Saccharomyces cerevisiae S288C: one gene and its partner. The gene in region 1 interacts genetically with each later gene. Each region holds a gene or a part of one and is shown in the gene's direction. Other genes may lie near its edges.

Region 1 (3,760 bases):
TAATTTTAATACAGTTAAGCTTACAGGATTTGGGTACTTATCTACTGCACTTATACGGGTTAAGGGATGATGTGCTTTTATTAGATATTGTAGAAGAATCAGAATTGAAGAACAAACAACTCCCTGCAAAGAAGCCGGATATCAGTAAGTTTTCCGCACAGTTGGAGAATATTGAACAGTATTCATCAAATGGCAAGCTTCTTACATATTTTAGAAAACACGTGAAGGATACGTAAATATATTGCACTTAAAATATACATAGTATTAATAATCATTTTGCATTTTCCATGCTGATTTTTCACGCAGGTTTTGAGAAGCAACTATGAAATATTGAATTTCATTTACACCATCGCATTATATTAGTTCAAACTAAACCTTTTTTTTCTTGCGGACAGGCAAAATATTAATACCTGAGTTAGTTTTCATTCCATTGTGTGTTTTTACAAAGGTCTTTTCGTTACAAGAGGGCACTATTGCTAAGTTTGGGTTGATATTGTTAATAATAGCACCCACATTCTCAGAAGACCTTTGTGAAATCTGAGATGCAGTGCAAGATGAAATTGAACCTAAAGGTGCCTTCTCTGAAAGAGTTGGACTTATAGATGCAGCATTGTTCCTTAAGGCATTCATTTCTTTTGATTTGACAGTCTCTGTCACAGATATTTCCTCCGCTTTAACATTCAGTTTCATAGACTTTTGTGTATCTTGCCTTATATCCCGAATGACTTCTGGTTCCACCTCCATCGTTAACGGGATGACTTCCCTTCTTCTTTTCACAGCAATTTGCGTTGATATTCGAGGAGCTTTCTTGAATTTTTTTGGATTTGTGGGAACTTTGTTTTTCCATGAATTTCTCTCTTTAGTGGAGGTTTTAATCAAATACGGTTTTCGGAGCGGCTCAGCTACGATAGCAAACCGTGTCATTCCCTTTTGTGATTGATGATCGCTCAGCAGTACTATAATGGAACCACCGCATTGCTGCTCTCTCTTCTTTAGGCGTCTCTCCCTTATTTCCTCAACGGTTATTTTTTCTTCTTCTTCGTCAGAGGAGCTTGCGTAATCTGGAATAAAAGTTCGATCGATTCGAGTATATATCTTGGGCCAATCTTTGCCACTAACCAATTTCAACAATGAATCACTTGAGGCTGGCCTTCTAGCTAAATTGCGGCTTTTTTTTTTCATAGATTCAAATTTATGTAACATTGAATCAATCAGCTCTTTAGTTTGGTAACGTTTAGTCTCCATTTCATTCTCGTCAGTGGGGTCATTTATTTTAGTAACCTTCTGTAATGTTACTTCCCAATTCAACATACCCAGTCTGTCTGAAATTAATGAAAGCCTGTCTGCTTCATTTTCACCATTTACGATGTCCGATTGAATCATTCTATTTTCTTGCTTCAACATTTTCTTGTGGTAAGGCTGATACGTGCTATCAGGAAGCAAATCATCAGTTGGTTTTCTAATATTCTGGCTCAATTCATGATGTTCAATTTCTAGTGTCATCTTTGTAATTGTCTCTCTCTTTTTCTTGATCTCATCATCGACATTACTCATGAACGGCGACTTCATCACAGGTTTCTGACAACGCGTTTCGTCAACATGCTCATCTACAGTAAAGCAGGACTTAGATTTCCTTAGATGTCCAGCATTTGGGTTTATCCTGCTGACTAATCTTAACTTCCTTTTAGGGTTAATTTCGTATTCTTCTGTATCAAAATCGAATTTTTCAAATTCTCCATGACTATTTTTAATCTCAGACCTCAGCAATCTCTCAGAAGTATTATTTGCTTCTTCTATTGATTGAAAAATACCCATTGATGAACTCTCATATGCTTTTAATGCTGTAGAAATTTTCGGTTTTCCTTTTTAATCTTGCTACTTTTTGTTTTGAGATCGCTGAAATCAACTCGCGGGTTAGATTTTCTTATTTTTAAAAATGTAGAACGAACGATTATGGAAACAACAATAACCAAAAAGAAAGGGAAAACAGTACCGCTTCTACTAATCTGTTGGATACATTAGACAATAAGCTCTAGGAAGTATGGTATATCGTAACAGGTCAAAGAGCGTTTTATCTACACACAGCAAGAAGAGCGACGATAAGGCCCACTATAAATCACGTTCGAAAAAGAAATCAAAAAGCAGGAGCAAGAAGAGGTTAAGAATCTACTGGAGATACATATCTATTGTATGGATCTTATGGTTAGGATTAATATCTTATTATGAATCAGTGGTTGTGAAGAGAGCAATGAAGAAGTGCCAATGGTCGACTTGGGAGGATTGGCCTGAAGGCGCTGAAAGTCATAGGGTGGGTTTATTTGCAGACCCACAAATAATGGACGAATATTCATATCCTGGGAGGCCTCAAATAGTTAATTATTTTACAAGAGTGATTGTTGACCATTATCACAGGAGAAATTGGAAATATGTCCAGTATTACTTGGATCCTGATAGCAATTTTTTCCTAGGTGATCTATTTGATGGAGGGAGAAACTGGGATGATAAGCAATGGATTAAAGAGTACACACGATTCAACCAAATATTCCCCAAGAAGCCACTGAGAAGAACGGTCATGTCTTTACCAGGTAATCACGATATTGGTTTTGGAGACACAGTTGTTGAATCGAGTTTACAGAGATTTTCTAGTTACTTTGGAGAAACTTCCTCCTCATTAGACGCTGGAAATCATACCTTTGTACTTTTAGATACAATTTCGCTTTCTGATAAAACAAATCCGAATGTCTCGAGGGTTCCTAGACAGTTTTTGGATAATTTTGCAATGGGTTCACATCCGCTTCCTAGAATTCTTTTAACTCACGTTCCATTATGGAGGGATCCAGAACAGCAAACGTGCGGTCAGCTACGTGAATCCAAAGAACCTTTTCCTATTCAGAAAGGGCACCAGTACCAGACAGTTATAGAAAACGATATATCACAAGAAATTTTAACGAAAATTCAACCAGAAATATTATTTTCCGGGGATGATCATGACCATTGTCAGATATCACACTCATATCCGTTTCAGGGGAAAACTAAAAATGCTCAAGAAATTACAGTAAAGTCATGTGCAATGAACATGGGGATCAGTAGGCCTGCTATTCAATTGCTCTCCTTATATAATCCTTCAGATTTGACAATGGTAAATGCCGGCGGAGAGTATGCATCAAAAACTTACCAAACAGAGCTATGCTATATGCCAGATCCCTATAAGGCAATCAGAATGTACCTATGGGGATTATTATTCTCTGCTGCCTTTATCGCATACATGCATTTTTTCCCAAAATCTTTTAATAATCGCGTAGCAACCATAATGAACAGAGTATTTACACGACCTGATGGTAACACCTCAGATTTGCCATTACCTACAAGTATTTCCAAATCGAAATCCAAAAAATCATTGACACATAGTAAATACGCTGTGAATGATACGCGTTCGATCAAACAATTTCTAGTTAATGCAATTGTCCTTTTTGTTTCTGTGATGCCCATTTTTATTTATTTTTATACTGTAGTCTAGACAGAATTACTGCTATTCTCTTCCAGGATCAAAATGCTTTGAAGGGAAACGTCTGGCTATTTAATATATGCGAATACACCTTATATACAGACAATGAACAAGAGATATAAATTATACCGGGTGTGGTATTACTATGCTCACCAAACAGTTTGCATAACCTCTACTGGATTTGCATTATGTTTTGTGGTCCAAGCTAAAACTGCAGGACTGGGCGTAACACCAATTACTTCACTATACGGGGAC
Region 2 (3,381 bases), on another chromosome or scaffold:
ACAATTCGGATGCGTTTGGTATTAGTAACAGCAACGAGTAGCGTTTGGGGCGCTTTGGTTGGCGTTGCTGGTGTTGTAGACAAGAGTCCGGGCATACAACCTTTTTGATGGCTTCAAAATTTTCTTGAAGGAAGTTAGCGGTTTGGTAGGCGTGAAACTGGTGGTAGGAGATTGTCTGTAAGCTGGCGTTAATTTCCCTTATAATACGCAGACTATCTGCGTTTGTCGACTTAAGCTCATCAAGATTGCCCTGAAGCCTGTCAACATTTTTCACTAATTTCTCGAAGGAAGGCTTGCCGATGGCCTTGCTTAGAATGGAGTTCACTTTGAAAGGGTCCCAGTGAAAAGTACACTGCTTATTCATATTATTGACGGCGGCGACATTGGGAGTGGCGGCAGACTGATGAGCTTTAACCAGTGAGAGGCTATTAATGTTATCTTTTTGAAAATGAATGTTGGAAAACTCCACGCAGTCCGGGCGGCCCGCCTTCTGGAAGTTATATTTGCTCAATTGCTTAACGAATGCTGCAAAGGTGTGAATACCAAAAAATCGCTCTAGGATGACTTTGGTGAACTGGTCCGGATTCCAAATGACGAGCTTGCTGCCATCAGTCGACCATTGTATTATGTTCGAGTAAGCGTTCCCCTGCAGCAGGTGGTAGAGTTTGCTTACAAAGACATCAGGCTGCTCCATCCTCGATGTTGCATCCATGTCTGACGTGCGTCGCTACACGAAAGAGACACACTTGGCGACTGCCCTGACTGGCAATATATACAGTCCGCAAATGTCGCGGACTGATGCGTCCACTTACTCTTCCTATATACCACCTGGGTGAAGAGGAGAAGTGAGCCCGTTCTGGAGATATATGTCCAAATATTTGCAGATCCAGTTTTGTCATTATAATGAGATGCCTTTTGGGCGACAAAGTTCGGGTAAAAGAAGGACGGGTCCAGGAAGGCCGTGGCCACAGAACAATGCGCAGAGAAGATTTCCGGTTTCTTTTTGGCTTTTCCGACTTTCATCTTTTAGAACTAAAGATTTCCTGCATCGGTAAACCTTAGCAATGTTTCTCTAGAGGGTTTTTGCACACCAGACACGTCGCACGTGCTCTTGCAGAGACTGCTGCGCTTTCGTTTACACTCAGATAACATAGTCTAGCTAGCTTGCTGTCGTTCGGCACGAGATCTAATCCTTCTCCTGGCCTACCGTCTGTGCAACCATTAGTCATGATTACGTGTGTTGCGCCTTATCTTGTCATTATGGCAGCATACTTTTCGTAGTCCTTTCCTGCGCAGCTTGTCCATTTTCGTCATTACGTAAAAAGTCCTAATGGAGAGCTGGGTACTGCATTTTTTCGATGTTTTCAATATTCAGTTCAGCAGGAAATAAACAAATAAACAAACATTAAAATATCCTGGTTTTTTTTCCCAGAGACGCGTGGAAGCACCCATGCATCCACTATTTATTTTTAAACAGCCGTACATTCTGTAATTTTGCTTCCTTTTTCTTCCTGCGTTCTTTTTTTCTTGAACTGTCGTTTTCCGTTATTTTTTTCGGTGACATCAGTTGAAAGTAGCAGCGGCCTAGGCCGGGAGGCCGTGTAGCTCTTTGTAGTCGTGGTAAGGGGGAGTAGCAATTCACTTAGTACGTGGTCTTGGAGTTAGGCTGGCTCGGACTGGCCCTGGCAAGTCCTGTTCTGTGTGGTAGTATTGAAATTTCAGAGATTGTCGGCAATACTAGTATATTAAAAATTATACTATAATTTAATCTAGTGTTGAAATACTTTCTTATATAGCGATTTTTCTGCCCAAAACAAACCAAAGAATCAATACGCAAAGATGGCTAGAGGACCGTATGTTTGACTATAGACTTTGATTATAATTACGCAAGGATGAGAAGAATGATAGACAAGAAACAAGTGGAGTCTTAACCAAACGAATAGGAACAACAATGAACCAGTTTATGTCCATTTAATTTTAGATCATCCTGGGATTGTACAAATATTTTACGAGTAATGATTTACTAACGAGCACAATGAAAAAAATAAAATGTCTGTATCTTCATTATACATTCATTTTTGCCCTTTTTTCTCATTTTTTTCCGTACAGAAAGAAGCATCTAAAAAGATTAGCAGCTCCACACCACTGGTTATTGGACAAGTTGTCCGGTTGTTACGCCCCAAGACCATCTGCTGGTCCACACAAATTGCGTGAATCCTTGCCATTGATTGTCTTTCTAAGAAACAGATTAAAGTATGCTTTGAACGGCCGTGAAGTCAAGGCTATCTTGATGCAACGTCACGTTAAAGTGGACGGTAAGGTTAGAACCGACACTACCTACCCAGCTGGTTTCATGGATGTCATCACTCTAGATGCCACCAATGAAAACTTCAGATTGGTCTACGATGTCAAGGGTAGATTCGCTGTCCACCGTATCACCGATGAAGAAGCTTCTTACAAGTTGGGTAAGGTCAAGAAGGTTCAATTAGGTAAGAAGGGTGTTCCATACGTTGTTACCCACGATGGTAGAACTATCAGATACCCAGACCCAAACATCAAGGTCAATGACACTGTTAAGATCGACTTGGCCTCTGGTAAGATTACTGATTTCATCAAGTTCGATGCCGGTAAGTTGGTTTACGTTACTGGTGGTCGTAACTTGGGTCGTATCGGTACTATCGTTCACAAGGAAAGACACGATGGTGGTTTCGATTTAGTTCACATCAAGGACTCCTTGGACAACACTTTCGTCACTAGATTGAACAATGTCTTCGTCATCGGTGAACAAGGTAAGCCTTACATTTCTTTGCCAAAGGGTAAGGGTATCAAGTTGTCTATTGCTGAAGAACGTGACAGAAGAAGAGCTCAACAAGGTTTATAAATTTCATAACAACTTAATTATTTTCTTCTTTTGTATATCTCCATTAATGTTTATTAGAAATTGAATTTTAAAATAATACATCGTATCTTCCTTTTTCGACTGGCAGTAATATAACGTATAATATATATATTAGGTGTGTGTATATATATCCGTATTGTAATATTGATAGTAAAAATACGCTAACCCTGAAATAGAAGGCGTATGATAAGACGTACTGACACTACGCACTACCACAATATATGCGTATGTGTGTGTGTGTGTGTGTGTGTGTGTGTGTGTGATTGTATTGGAATATATATACTTACTAAAATTAGCTTATATGGTTCGCATATTGACTATTTATAAGGATATTCAACTTGTCTGTCCTTTCTTAACCAAATTTTCTTCTTTCTCTTGGTGGTAACATGTTCCACAAACTTCTCAGTACAATGATCCACTTTGAATTTCTTTATGAAAACAGGGTCCCATAATTCAGAACCGACGCCGAGATCTTTGCAACA

The links. A genetic interaction does not mean that the proteins touch.
Region 2: mutations in CDC1 (region 1) and RPS4A impair growth when combined (synthetic growth defect), as found in Saccharomyces cerevisiae (2 studies listed by BioGRID, with this or other methods).

What each region holds. Positions count from the first base shown.
Region 1 is NC_001136.10:825,541-829,300, forward strand, and holds CDC1 (putative lipid phosphatase CDC1), read left to right. Parts: upstream 1-2,041; coding exon 2,042-3,517; downstream 3,518-3,760. Other genes in the region: cohesin-loading factor complex subunit SCC2, read left to right, coding at 1-236; SAS4 (Sas4p), read right to left, coding at 370-1,815; YDR182W-A (uncharacterized protein), read left to right, coding at 3,611-3,760. UniProt on the Saccharomyces cerevisiae protein: Probable metallophosphoesterase which may participate in recombinational repair of double -strand breaks.
Region 2 is NC_001142.9:701,527-704,907, reverse strand, and holds RPS4A (40S ribosomal protein eS4 RPS4A), read left to right. Parts: upstream 1-1,839; coding exon 1,840-1,853; intron 1,854-2,109; coding exon 2,110-2,881; downstream 2,882-3,381. Other genes in the region: HMS2 (Hms2p), read right to left, coding at 1-712; YJR146W (uncharacterized protein), read right to left, coding at 670-1,023; MGM101 (Mgm101p), read right to left, coding at 3,217-3,381.